Struthio camelus: one gene and its partner. The protein of the gene in region 2 purifies or fractionates together with the protein of the main gene of each other region. This does not show direct contact. Links are inferred from orthologs where the notes say so. Each region holds a gene or a part of one and is shown on either strand. Other genes may lie near its edges.

The links. The genes of interacting proteins can lie anywhere in the genome.
Region 1: the proteins of FBXL5 (region 2) and CIAO2B purify together in Homo sapiens (affinity purification with mass spectrometry; 3 studies listed by BioGRID and IntAct, counting the BioPlex papers as one, with this or other methods). This does not show direct contact. The link is inferred for Struthio camelus from reciprocal best matches to the Homo sapiens genes FBXL5 and CIAO2B.

The regions. Positions count from the first base shown.
Region 1 is NC_090951.1:11,244,848-11,251,977, reverse strand, and holds the start of CIAO2B (cytosolic iron-sulfur assembly component 2B), read left to right. Parts: upstream 1-4,073; 5' UTR 4,074-4,157; coding exon 4,158-4,299; intron 4,300-4,405; coding exon 4,406-4,485; intron 4,486-4,723; coding exon 4,724-4,849; intron 4,850-5,415; coding exon 5,416-5,461; intron 5,462-5,998; coding exon 5,999-6,096; 3' UTR 6,097-7,130.
Region 2 is NC_090945.1:70,559,180-70,567,238, reverse strand, and holds the start of FBXL5 (F-box/LRR-repeat protein 5), read right to left. Parts: upstream 3,271-8,059; 5' UTR 3,198-3,270; coding exon 3,066-3,197; intron 1-3,065. Other genes in the region: ADP-ribosyl cyclase/cyclic ADP-ribose hydrolase 2, read left to right, coding at 7,281-7,447.

The DNA.
Region 1 (7,130 bases), on a different chromosome or scaffold from region 2:
AAAGTTTTTGAATAAGAAAGTCTCTTTACCTATATGCACTGATAACACAATTATAGGAATCTGTCCTTACACTAGTACACTCAACTCTTTATTCACAACCTAGCTCACGGACACCAAAGACTATGTAAAACACTCACAGGAAGTTAGATCAACTAATTTTTAATCTGCACAAACAACTCTTTTAGACCCACAAACGATATCCAAACTATTGCACTATTTCTGAAGAGAGATCAGAAGCAACTGAAACATAAAAGTATTGTTATGCAAGAGGCTGTGTTGATCACCTTCCACTTAATATGTTGCCTAAGGCTACAGTGAGAAATATTGTTTTTCTGACTAGAGTGTCTTAACCTTTCATTGAGCCTGAGAAGTCATGAACTGGAGGAAAACGTCATCTGTCCCCTCATTCCTTATGCCGTCAAATAAACTATTTTACCTTACTTTCAAGGCAACTGCAAAGACTATCCTTGATGTATTATCTCTCATTCACTACCAAGAGACTGTCATTGCTTCCAAAACCACGATGCTAGCTTACAAACACGTACTTTTTACTCCATTCCTTATGGGATTTGTTATGTGTTTGGAACACAGGCTGCGGTGGTAAGGCTGCTGATCAAAATTTGTAAAATCACTATAATTAATATCTTATTTGTCATATTTTCTCCAAAAAGACTTGACACTGACTTGTCTGTCAGTATGGAGACTATCAGCTATTGTTCTGAATGATGCTGTGTATCTTTCTATACTCTACACGCTGTATTTATCTTTTATGTGAGCACTTGGAAGCAAGGGCCATCTTGCTCATACAGTACCTCACACAATCAAATCTATAACTAGGACTTAAAAGGACCACACCAGTAAAAATACCAATATCATCCATGAATAATTAAACTTATTTATTACATTGCATATTAAAAAATCATGAAAATTATTAATAGATTTTTAAAACTTTTGATCATTTCTGAGCTTTTTTTTTTAAGAGGATGAAACAACTGAATTCATAGGACAAATAGCAGAGGGATTTTAGGACTCCTTCAGTCTCTTACACATTTTAACATAACCTCAGTAAAGCAAGCATGTATTGATTTTGCAATTTAGCAAACAGAATATAAGAGCTACTATAAAGAATTATCTTATGCTTGCAGGTACGAAACGGAGTCTCTCTAACTGCTCCACAGTTCAGGTGGTTGCACTGAAGGAAATCTCCAGAATCCAGCTGGTGATTTTGCAGCAGGTACCCCAAGAAGACATTCACAATCCTATCTGTTCCCTTTATGCTGTTCTATCGTCCTTGAAACTGCATATTTTGCTAGTCACCTCTGGATTTGAGCTTTCATGCCCTACACAACAAATTGATAAGAAATCAGTATATTTTTGTAAAAAGTGGCTCACGTGATCTCTGGATATACTTATATTAGAAATAAACTGCACAGACTGGTCAAGAAAAACCATTTCAGTTCATTCTTGTACTTGCTAGTTTGTCTTGACTCACCTCACCTAAACGATGGAAGCAGGTATTTTGAAAAATCCTATTGACTTAATGGGTTCCATATACAAGGACAGTAATTTGTCTGTTGACAAAATCAAATCAAAGGAATCAAGAGTATAAAAAACAACGTAAATCACTACAGATATGTTCAGTTTTATTTGCCAGTGTTCATGAATGCATGAACCACATGGACATTCCTACACTCCTGTTCTGGCTTTAGTGTAGGACAGGTCTGTGAACACTTTTGAGTATGTGACTCTCAGCTTTTTCCCTTCTTTGCCAAAATCGCTGTCAGAACGTAGGTGCAGAGTAGCTGTGAGCTACAGGATGCACGTAAGAGAACTATTACACTGGGAAATCCACAGGTTCTAATTTCCACATACTCCATCCGATTTTGCACATAACCCTCAGAGAGTTCCTAAATGAATGTTTTCTCCGTCTGCTACTAGTAGGCCAAAGAAGCACCATCAAAACGCATTTAATGTCTGCAAGGAGAATGCAACACATCAAGATTTCCCCTACTGTAACATACACCCTCAGCTCTGCAGGAAGTTTATAGAATCCAGTACCAAAAATAGGAGCACATTAAATAAAGATAACAGGCAGCTCTACCAAACCCCTAGGAATTTCAACCTAGAGCTTTGGTAATACCTCAGGTCTATGTCAAGGTTATTTTGAGCGAGGTGAAATACTTGTGAATGTGCCTAGTACTGAATCTGTTGTTCCTTATGACTCTCTTTCTCTAAGAGACGAGCCATGAGACACTGATAACGGTAAAGTTACATGATATAGTTTGTGTTATCACCACAGAAAACCCAGGTTCCTGTGGAACTTCTTGGCATAATTCTTGGAGGACTTCTTTGACAGGGAACCCACAGGAAAGAATGCCAAAATTTTTCTTTTGTAGGATAAGCTTATTGTAGCATATTTTTTTCCTAATATTTGCATCCTTCTGTCAAACAAAAGTTGCTGATGACTCTCTAAAACAATCTATAACTTCTACAGAAACAGGTTAAGTGGGGTGATTTTGGCAGCTTCTGCAGCAAAAGTCCTCAAGAGCAAATGGCAAATAATATTTTTATCTGCTACATCACAAGAATTCAAAGCTGTCTGGAGGAATAAACCCACCTCACAGTCATTATACAAGCAACAATTTCTGAAGTAGTATACAAATATTATTTCCAATTCCTCCTCACTATGAGGATATTATACCCCAAAATTTCATCACGTAGCAGGAATTCTAGCTGATCAGCTAGTTGGTGGAATAAAACCTGGTATACAGACCATAGTGCTAACTGAAAAGATCCTGGTATTCCGTCATATAATCTGTAAAAGTGACATATGGTTTTCAAAAAACCTAAAAGCAGATCCCAGGCTCGGTATCTCTCACCTCTAGCTCACAAAAGTGCCTTCCAGCTCTGGAGAGCTGCTATAAAACGCATCGCTGTCCAACTTTCAGCCCATGCAACAGCATTTGTTTCTGTCTGCAGTGGTGTAGTGCAACAAGCAGCATACTGAATCTGCTGGGGCAGCACCGTTCTCACCAGACTCCATGCAGGCGTCATGCACAACAGCATTAACTGCAATTTCTGTAAAGTACTTTTAAACAACAGAACCACAATATGTGACTTTCCTTCAAAACACTAAATCTTTCGAAGCAGTAAATCTCAATTCCTTTCAAATTATTTTTATTTCTAATTAACCAAAAGGGAAATTACCTCACTCAGCCTGAGGACTACATTAATGTTTTTCTTACATAAAAAATAAAATGTAGTGGCTTACATGTACGATGACTTGATACAGTAGGACAGATGTGTCACTTAAGCACAAAGTAATAAAACAAATTACTCAAAAAACCCTATGGGGATCATTTTTTTGCAAAGAGGAACAAACATATGACCCAGATGACTGCATACAAGATGTTTATGCAGGAGTAAAAGCTTTAACCCTATTATAAAGGGGTCTATAAAGCCAAAACATAAAGCATCATTACATTCACTTTATCACTTCAGTTTATTTAACAGTTTGTCATATTTACTACTATACACAGCTTGACTTTTCAAATTATCTACACGATAAAAGAAATCACCTTAATCAATAACATTTTGCATTTAAAACGCTGTTTAGTTTACCTGTCTTCGCAAGCACTAAGTAAACAGCAAAGGCGCTCAAACAAAAACTTTAGAGAGCCACCGACTGGAACGAAGTCATTCCCTTTCCCCCCTCAGACCTTATGTTTAACGCCAGGCAACACTTAAGTCACTGCACGCGGCCTCCCAGCTCACCAATACGCCCTTTAACGCTCCACTTCCACGGCCAGAGACGAGGTGCTACCTCTGTCTCTCGACAGCTGAACAAAACCGCGGCAAAAAAAACCCACTTCTAAATTCACCTCCGACTCCCGCGACGCGCATCCCTACTACAAAAGCGGCGAGCGACAACGGCGGAGGTCACGGAGGGCCGCCACCCGCCCGCCCGCAGAGGGAACCGCCACCCGCACCTCAGGCGCCTCAGCTTCCTCCTCTGCCCCCTCCCCCCGCGGCCAACGGCCAATCGCCAACGGCCCCGCGCGCGCGGTGCGGCGCCGAAGCGCGTCCGGGCTCCTTCCGCCGGCGGCGCGCCGCGCCGGAAGGGCCGCCCGCCTCGCGGCGCAGAGCTGCCGGCGGCCATGGTGGGCCCGGGCGGCGGCGGCGCGGCGCCGCTGGAGAACGCCAACCCCCTCATCTACCGCCGCTCGGGGGAGCGGCCGGTGACGGCGCGGGAGGAGGACGACGAGCTGCCCGACTCCATCGACGACCGCGAGATCTTCGATATCCTGCCGGGGCAGGGAGGGCCGGGCCGGGGTTGGGGGTGGGGGGGGCCGGGGCGGCGGCCGGTGGCGCAGCCGCCCGCAGCGCGTTTTCCTCAGCCTGGCACATCTCATCCGCTCCATCAACGACCCCGAGCACCCGCTCACCCTGGAGGAGCTGAACGTCGTGGAGCAGGTCCGCGTCAAGGCGAGTGCTCTGCCAGGCTTGTCCAAACGCCGCGGCTTAGTTTCCGTGTTCCCGTGGCCGTGAAAGGAGAGTTAGCGTAGACTTGTGCTTCGCTCAACCGTAACGTATGAAAATGACAAGGAGGAAAACGATGAGCAGCAGAGCGGAGCTGCAAGCTGCGTTTCACACGCAGTGCCTGCTGCTGGCTTGTGATACGGTCAGTGAGTTTTGTACATAGAGAGTGTTTGCTTTTCGACAGGTGAATGACGCTGAAAGTACCGTAGCAGTGGAGTTTACACCCACGATTCCTCACTGCAGCATGGCGACATTAATTGGCCTGTCCATAAAAGTAAAACTGATTAGATCTCTGCCTGAGAGATTTAAGGTGAGTAATAGAATCAGTCCAGAAAGCAGAAGAAGGCGGTGTGTTTTTAAAAAACTGACAACTAACTTTAAGTGAAAAGCAAATTAAAGTGAAAACTAACTAGAGCTTTTCTTCATCTCCTCATATTATGGGGGAAGGGAAACACTACAAGAATCAGAAGGCACTAAACTAAAGAGTGGATACAGAATGCCTGCTCTCTGAAGGTCGAGTCAAAGGCAAACAGGAGCACGATGGGGAATGACATTTAGTTCTTTGTGGCACCCTAGCTCCTTAAGGGTGAGAATCTCACTTTTATGAATGGGGATTAGAGGCCTGTGTTTTACGCAGCTGCCTGAAGGAGGCGTAAAGCAGATCAGAGCGCAGCATGCAGTGCAGGCTTTTGCCTGGAATCCAGATTTTAGACTTTGTTTTGTTTTGCTATATACAATCACTGGCTTTGACAAGAACGTGTGTGTGTGTTTTTAATTGTCTTGTTTTCCTTGTTTAATTATTTGAGTCCGAGCTTCCGGTGTGTTGTTGGCTTGTCCTCTCTCTTCTTCTTTTGTGACTCTTTTTCTCCTTTTAAGGTGGATGTTCATATAACACCAGGAACACACGCCTCTGAGCATGCAGGTGAGCTTTTTAGTGCTTTGTTGTGTGTTTTTCTTTACACTTTTAATCTTGCAAATTAGAGTGAGAGATACTCTTGCGTCTGCAGAGCAGCTGTTGAGTATCTGGACTTCACACACAGCCCCTTCCACCAGATGTTACAGAACCAGAATGCATAATAATAAAACTTAGATATGTCATGCACCTTACCTGAAACGTTTCCTCAGACAGTTTGCGTTCTCAAATAGTCCCCAATTTGCCTGCATTATGGAGGGCTCAGAAAATGAGCAGAAGCTGAGGGTAAATTTCTTATTACAGCTATACATGCATAGCTCACTGCTGGTGAATCATAAATAGCCTCCTTGTTTAACTTGTGATAATATGGTAGCTTTGACTTTATATTACAACTCTGTAGTGTGCTCAGCATCTGCAGAATTACAAGTCTACCTGAGTATCATAGCAACAGTGTGATTATCAGTCTCAACGTATAATGTTTTTAAAAAGACATTATATACCAATGTTTTGACAAGTTTTATATATATATTTTTTTTCCCTGAACAGTTAATAAACAGCTTGCTGATAAAGAACGTGTAGCAGCTGCTTTGGAAAACTCTCACTTACTGGAGGTGGTGAATCAGTGCTTGTCTGCTCGATCATAATTGCCTGATGAGGAAATCTTTGGTATTATGCTTTTGTTAAATTAATTTTGTATATAAGTGGTGATGCAAGTGTTTCTTTATCTATGTATCTATAAGCAAAATAAAGGGACTTGGATTTTCTTAAAGAAATGTTTCATTACTTCTACAAAAATTAATATGTAGGAAATTAGCTTACAGGCAGGTACACAAGTATTATGAATATTGACTTTTTAAGTTTATTAGCTCAAGCAGAGTAGGATTTTTCTGGACATATCTTTAGAAAGATCTGTTTGAACTTGGTTTTAATGGAATTCTGACCATCCTAAACCAAAGATTAGTTATGAACTGCATTTTAGAAGTGGGTTTTACACATTGACCAAGCAAATTAGCAGTTAAAATCTTTCCATTCATATGATTATTTTGGACTGTTAATATAATTTTAGCTTCAAACATTGAGATTTTTACAAGTCAATGCGTGCAAAGACATAACATGCCAGTAGCAAAAAAATGTAAACACTTCTAAATCATCTATTTGTTTTTTATGATATTGACTTGGATTTGCCAAAGAGGGAGGGCTCTCTATACCTGTATGAAATGTGATTATTTTTAACTACTCATTACTTCTGGTAAGTAATTTCCAGAAGTTCTATTTCTGAGGTAGATTTTTTTTTTCTGCACCTGTCACAGCCTAGGAGGGAGTTATGCATAGTTTTCAGTATGAACAGTCCAGCTACTCCCTGCTGAAGACTTTCCTGGTAAAGTTTGACAGCTAAATCATACGTTTTGCTTTAAGGATATATTCAGATTTAGTACTAATACTTATCCCATGTTACTGGGCTGGAAAATACGGCACTTACTAAACTGTTGTCTGTGGTGGAAATTGACAATAGAAAAATTCATTTAGATTTCCATGATTAACTTTAAGAGATGTTTTTAATCCTAGACCACATGAAAGGAAAAAAAAAAAAAAGAAAAAAAAAAACAGACTGTTAAAGAAATAGACCAATAAAGTTTTTTGGTTGCTACATGCATGCAGTGTTATGTATCAATTATCA
Region 2 (8,059 bases):
GATGAGATACTTTCGGCCACCGTTTGGAAAGAGGGACAGTCAGTAACGTAACTTGTGAATGACATTCTCAAACGCAGCAAACAAGATCGTAATGCAACAACAGAAGCGCTCTCTACTGAACACCGACCGACATGTGGATTTTGGAAGAGTGCGGAGTACTACGTTAGGACAGAAGGCGTCAAAGGCACAAATATGAAAGGAAAATTTTGAGTGCTGCCAGAAACAATTCACAGATAAGCATAGGGTTACAGTGAGGCATAAAGTGAATACGGTGCTGTTAAAAATAAATAAATAAACAGGGGGGGAAAAAAAAGAAGCTCTATTCAACATCAACAGTGTCATGTTTTGCACAACGGATTTCAAGAAAATCTAGACAAAATTAGGCTGAGGTTTCACAGCAGCTGAAGCCAACCTAGTTGCCGGGCTGTCACAGTCCCACCCTCCAGCTCCCATTGGCTTCAGTACTCATCTGACTAGTGCTTGCTGGTGAGCAGAAAAACTACCACCTAAAAAAAAAAAAAAAAGTAAAAAAAGTTCTCTGCCAATTACAGCCTTTGTGAGTCACTTAACATGCTGATGGGAGGAAGGAAGGGCCAATAATCATGACAGCAGCAGTTAGATGGCTTAGATTGTCACAAAACTGCAGTTTAGCAGTCCTGACAAAAGCAACAAGAACACCAAGAGGCACAGAACGCATCACCCATGTGGTAAAGTTGAATGAATCTGTTCACTTAGTCCAAAAAGCAGATCAAGATGGAGGACAGGGCTACAATTTGCAAATAAGCAGAAGACTCTCCTGAAAACAAACAGCCATTCACTGGAGATAGGAAAAAGAAATCAGCTCTATTAATAAATAGTATGGATGATGTTAGACATTAGGAAAAAAAATTTTACTCCAAAGACCGTCTATAGGAATAGTTATTCCTATTATGTAAGTAAAGGCACTGCATACAACGGTCCTAAAATGCCATTCAAGTACACAGAAAACGTATGGTAAGATCTTTGCATCAAGACAGTTACTGAACTTTTAAATTGTTGCTAGCAGTCAAACATCTTACACTTCCGATTTACTCTTCTGTCTCATATGAGGTCTTAGAAGAACAATCTAAACTTTATCTCAGTCCTAAAGCATCACTGGAGTACCTCTGCCTTTTACTCATCCTAACCTTATAACCGATTCCCTGAAAAGCATAGATGCACCAGTTTCACCCCTACTAACAATTGGTGGAATTTAGTAAGAGGAGGCACTAACAGATGGCAACTATATTACAACGTACAGGGAACATTAGCAGCAGCAGGTACACATGTAGTTGAAATTAAAGACTCCTCAAGGATTCACTAAATTGATAAAGAGCATAGCTTCGCGGATTATAATTGCCATGTAAGCAGAAATACAGTCTGAGCTAACTACAACATCTTAATCACACAAGAAGGAAAGTTCAGAGAAATTTTTCTGATATAAAGCTATCGTGACTGAAATACAAAGGTCACGAGCCAGGCACAGACTCCAAACTCTGTAACAGGACCAGAGAATGTAGGATTAAGTACTATAAATCCTCCCTGCTTACATAAAAAACCCATCAAGGATTCATTTGTGGTTATGCTTGTTTAAAAGAAGAAAAGAAAGTTAGCACGCTCTTGTCTACAATTGAAAAAAAAAAAAAAAGAGAGCGTATGCTCATAGCAGACTGGATGGTTTTAATCAAATTTTGCCAATCTAATAAATTCGGTCAAAACTTTGTGGGAGGTTCAATAAGAGTGACAGAAATGCATCTCGGGAACAAAAAACCAAAAACAGTAGTAAATGACTAGAAGATCTGGAGGTTGAAAACTTGCTCAACTACTGTTAACAATGCTAGCAGGGCTGCTAGTGGGAAAAAAAAGTCGCAGCCTTTTTCAGGTGTTTCTTTCCCTTTCTGCAATATCCCCTCTCTTAAGGCTTCACAAGTTTTCATGCAGCCACAGATTGCAAAATTAACTTAACTGCAAACACACTTGCAAAAACGACTTACAGTGAAATTACAGAAGACAGCTAGATCTGGTCAGACATTGCTAAATGGTAACACTCTCATCTTTTTCTTCCCCTGATTTTCTCTGCCCAATTCAAACAGGCTCACAAAAAGGGGTCCGGTGAGCACCAGACATTGGGGAAATAGGGGAAGGGGGGACTCCCCCAGCCTGTTGGCAGCTGTTACGCTGTCTCTCATGCAACTTCACACTCCTTTTTGACGCTTGCTAAAACGACTCCGGTTCCCCCACAGCCGTTTATGCCCACAGAGGGGGGAGGCACTACTTTCAGTTTGCGTGCTGGCTTTCAAGTGTTTCCCTGAAACCCTTCAGTTCTGCTTGAACGTGCTGCAGTGAAGTTTGCCTTTCAGGTGACACACCAGCTCGGATTACTCACTGCCCTGATGCAAGAACGGAAGTTATTTTTGCAACATTATTTAAAAACCAAAACTTCCTTAGCGTACCCTTCAGGTGCTCACCAATTAAACGCTGTACTTTAAAACGCAAACAAACGTTGCTCCTCACAGACCGTTAACGAGCGCACTGCCCACGACCGGTGTCCGGCGGTGCTGCCGGGCACCGGGCAATTTACAGGAAAAAAAAAAAAAAAAGCACCAAAACACACCAAAACACCACCAGAGGTTTGTTTACCCCCTGCCCCCCGCTCCACCCCGGCACCCCCGGCCGCCTCGGGGGTCCGCCCCGCCCGGGGCTGCGCAGGCCGCGGCCCCACCTCCAGGAAGGGGCAGCCGGGGTGGGCGCCGGCCCCGCTCCCAGCCCGGCGGGGGAAGGAGCGCGGCAGGCGCGGTCCCGCGGCGGAGGGAGCGCTGCTGCCTCACGGGCAAGGCCACCAAACGCGGCCGGGGCCGGGACCGGGCAGAGCGGGGCGCGGGGAAGGCGGCTCCGGCGGCCGGGGCGCCCCGCGGCAGCGGCGGGGGGAGCCGGGGCCGGGGCCGGCGCGGGGCGCGCTGACAGCTGCGCACTACGCGAAATCCTCCCTCGCCCCTCCGGCGGAGCGAGCGGAGCGGGGCAGGGGCGGCCGCGGCGCGGCCCGCTACCTTGTCGCAGTAGAGCCCCACGAGCTGCTTCATCCGCCAGTGGGGCGCCGAGAAGACGTCCACCTCCTCGGGGAAGGGAGCCATGTTCTCCCCATAGAGCCTCGCCGCGGCCGGCACTGGCGGCGGCAACATGCGCGCTGCGCATGCGCGGCACGGCGCGGAGGGCGCCCCGCCGGCCCGGGCGCCACGTGACAGGGGCCGCCCCGCGAGCGCCGCCGCGGCTCAGGCGGCGCCGCCCGGCGCCCCGCCGCGCGCATGCGCATGCCAGGCTCGGCGAGCCCTGCGGCGCCCTGGGAGGCCGCTGCCCTCGCCCGCCTCCCGCCGGGGCCGCGGCGCTGTGTCAGCAACAACGCGCCTCCGCCATCGGCCTCCTGCCGCGCCCAGCTCCTTCCCGCCGAGCGTGGGCGGCAGCAGGCTGGATGCCAGAGGCCCCCGGCAGGCAGGAGCGAGGGAGCGCGTCGGGGCGGCGCCCGGAGGCTGCAGGCCGACGGGCCCGGGCCTGTCCCCTGCCGTGGCGCAAGCGGCCCGGCTCCGCCGCCGCCGCGGCTGCGTGTGGCCGGGGGGCCCGAGGGCCCGGCCCCCCAAAACCCCGCGCGGTGCTGAGCAGAGTGCCCCGGCCGGGGGGCCCGGGCTGCCGTACCCGCCAAGCGCTGCCTGTGTTTAACGTCCGAGGGGGGAAGGGGCAGGGGCGCTGCCCTTCGGGGTTCGTCCCCCCCTAAAACGCCTCGAAAGATCCAGGAATCCTTAGCGGCCTTGAGATTACAGGTTAGGTTAGCAAAATGAAGCTGTAACGCTGTCCACCCACATGTCCACGTGTTATAAATCACCCCGCCCCCAAATTGCCAAAGATACAGTAAATGCAGAAGTTCCTGACTGAAAACTAGACAAAATCCAAGTTGTATATCTTAAACAGATTAAAAGCTGGTGAGTTAACAAATGTGAAAAAATTAGTTATAAACAGATGGAAATATTTTGAGCAAAGGCCTGCAGTACTTATTTTTAGTAAGTGTTCCTCAACATAGTAATGCTTTGGAATAAAATATGAAATTATTGCTAGTAAAATTAGTAGATAATTTAAGAAGAACACATCACATGATCAAAGTTATCTAGATCGTCTAGTACTGAGCAATCTTTCTACTGACGGAAATGAGGCTTGAGCAATTGCAGTGTTGGGTGCTTCCTTTTCCATCCACCCTTTCTTCCTCCCAGAAACTTCTGAACCTGTTGGCCTACTTAATCATATTTGACAAAGGTTTACAAATCTTAAAGGAATTTAGATTTGTGCAACTTTGGGGAAAATCAGCAGCTATGTATGAGAGAGGGAAAGGAAGGCAAAACACAGGTATGATACAGCCGGCCAGCCAGTACATGGTTGCATTTACTGCTTGACCAGTTACTGCTTGACCAGTAAAGACAATTCTGGCTCTGCACTACCCCCAGTACCCACCATTTCTTGCACAGTGAGTATAGCAGCAGACAAGTGGGAGAGGGAGGGTTAGTGCTCTAAGTAGGATTTACGATTGAGATTTATGACAGAGATGCAAGCCCTCAAGAAACAGTGTTTGGTTAAGTCTGTTGCTTACAGAAGAGCTTGTTAATGCAGGCAAATTTAAGGTCATATTTCCAACCGTAAAGCTTGAAATCCTACAGAACTGGGGTCAGTCTGCCAGCAGGCCATGCCTGAGTAATACGGGAGATTAATGCTCCCAGCTGTTACTCCCTTCTTCTGCTGGAAGTTGCCGCTCTCATCTGGTAGAAATAACAAGAGAGAACATGTCCGATCCTCATCCTCCAAGGGTTCAGAATATAAACATATGCTAAATTTGATTTTGAGTTAATATGCAGTTTGTGAATCGGAGTATCTCCAGCGCAGATATGCTGCTGGCCTTGCTGACTCTGCTTCATGGGCAGTAACCTCTTGTAGGAGAGGTGGACAGACAGCTAGGGGCAGTGATCTACATCCAGCATGAAGTGCCAAAGCTTGGGAGGCAAGCTGGACAGCCAATCATGGCACTGAAGTACAGTACTACTAAAGTAAGTGCCTAATAATGAGATTAAAAAATTGAATTTTTCATGGACAAGTTTAAGAGGCGACTTGATCATGGTCTATAAGGATTTACATGGAGAGACTATTTCTGTTTTGAGTAACATAACAGAAAAGGACATCATGAGATCCAGTGATGGGAAGCTAAAGGTAGACAAGTTCAGACTTGATGCTTAAACCATAAGGCTATCCAACTGTTGGAACAATTTCCCTGGCAATGTGTTAGATTAGCCATCACACAAAATATTTTAATCAAATTTGCGTAAGAACGTGCATTAAAGATGGCTGTACTGAGTCAGATCAGAGACCCACGTAGCCTAATGCTGTGTTTCTCAAAGTGGCCATTGAGGAAAGGAAAGTCAATAGAGCTTGAGATGGGGATCCCAGCAACCGTTGGATATATTTCCATTCCCTCTGGAATGGCATGACATGTCATGTCTTCTTGCAGAATACCACTGAGCAGCATCCACATCTTTCCAGAGTTGGCGAGTCCGAACTTGGTGTGTCCTTGCAGAAAAGCCGTTCCAAAACTCTATTCATTTTTATGTCATTCTAATGCACTGTATACTTTACTTAGACGTTTCAGTCTTGATGCAAAAATCAGTGAAAATTTCTGTCTTATTCTGTACAGAGCATCACATGAGTGATGCCTCTGGTTTTTCTTAGTCGTGAAATGACTGGGCAAGACTTGACTGCAGCGAAGTTAATAACAAAAATCATTCATTGAGTTCCATGGATGATTGAAAGCCTCTAAGCCCAAACCTGAAGCAGTGAACTTGAAACCATTTGGTTAATATCCTTGTCCCTGATCAACATGGCCATCATGTTTCACAGATGTCAAAAAGGAAATATGGAGAAAATGCATCACAAAAGTAACTGAAATGAAGTACAGCATTTGCTGTGTCTCAAGCATATCAAACACAACATGGCACATCTGTTGCAGGATAACTCTGGCACTCCTAAAAAGATGCTGCAGATAACAAATCAACTTGTTATATCACATTTATAGGAGAAATCCATCATCAGCAATTTACTCAACAATTAGCAAGATTCTGCCTACAGCAAAATCCATCAGCTGAGTACTGGTGCACCCAGGTTAGCATAACACTATATAAATAAAGACATAATTAATAAAGATATATGTATTCACTGAGGCATGAGGACTATTTAATACAATAAAAGGAATCAGCACATTTCTCAGAAATGTGAATCCATAGACAAATTACGCTCCGGTTGAAAAGAGAAGTTTTTTAAAAAGGGGTGGAAAAAAAGTAGTTTGGTTGTTTTTCCCAGCGGTGTATACAACAGAAGATTTACAGTGACGGCTGGATTAATTTATCCCATTTGATGATCTAACAAAGTACTTGGAGAGGAGAAGCTGGAGGGAAAATAAACATAAGTGGAAGTTGAAGAGATTTCTTCAATGCACAGGAAGCATACCTTAATCCTTTTGGTTCTCATTATGATTTATTCCTGTTTGCAAGACACTTTTGTTCGCTAAGAATAGTTTAAAACTTGTCATCACGCCAAAATTTTGCTGCCAGTATCCAGGGGAAAAATAGAAGAGCTGACCACTGTTACCCCTATCTGCGATGCAAGATAACGTGAAAATCTGGCTTTTTATGAATGCGGACTTGCATATTTCATTTTCTTCTTGATATGTATTTCAGCCTTTTTTTCAGCCTTTAGAGAAATATATGCAAAAAGGGTAGCACTTTTTTAACATTAAATGAAAGTACTTTTAAGCTTGTTGCTTGCAAGCACTTGCGATGTTTTAGCATTTAAGATTGCAATGAGTATTCAGCAAGCCTAAGGCATTGTAAATAACACTGAAATGGGAAGTGTTTTTTCTTTTACAAAAATATGTTGTAATTCCGTCTAGTTATCACCAGGTGGCAACCTCTTGATCTAAAAACTACGTTTTTCCGAAGCTGAGAACATTTAAATTTAAGGAAGTGATGTATCCTTGTGCTGCAATCATTCCAGGAAACAGTTAGATTACATTCTCCAGCAAAGTTTAGATTTCCGTGTAACTTTGTCATTTGCGTACAGAGCTACTGCCTGTTTTGAAAATATTACCTGTTAAACCTTCTGTTTTCCATTTAAATTGTATCATTTAACTCTCCTTTTTAATCTTTTTTTTAAAGAACTTGGGTTGTCAAGAATTCATAATGAGCAGCTTTTTTTTCTCTCTCTTACTTGTCTCTCTTCTGTTTATGAAAAGCTTTTCTGAAGGCCAAGGACATAAATGGAAAGGTGAAGGTACAACACAAAACCTGGAAAGCGTTGTCATTGGAAGGTGTTATGAGTACACTAGAATTGTGAATCCTTCTGTTGGGTAAGTTCTTGCTTGTTTCTGAATTCGTTTTTATGTTATCTAGAATATGTTTACTAAACAGAAGCCTGATATTTCACTCCCGGCCATGAGAGCTGACCTACTGAAGCCGACATGCTTGTCCAGGAACAAAAAATGAGCTTTGATAAATGTAATAATGATAACAGTAGCATAAATAAGGTAAGACTTCTACTGCTTCAACTTTTTTATTTCACATTTTCCCCTTGTATTATAGGGTTCTACAAGGAAAACAGGGCACAAAAATTGTGGGTATGGTATTTCTAATACACCAAATCTACTACACGCATACAGTAAGTGCAGCGCTCCTAGGAAGACCAATTTCCCTTTGTCAGGTCCCTTAAGAGGGCCACACTTTATAGCTGTCCTGTGCTACTGAAAGAATCTGTTTAGCTCCTCCACCGGCGAAAGCAGGCGCTGCTGAAGTAGTAGCTGTAAACTTTCATTGTCTGTGTTAATCAGACAGTACTGGGTGGCAAGTCCCCCACTTTGGTAAGAGGGTCATGTTTTCCGTCTTTCTTGCATTGTTTGGGCTTTAGTAAAAAGGGGAATGCTAAAAAGACATTCTTGAATTCAGCCCTTTCTCCTGGCACCAAC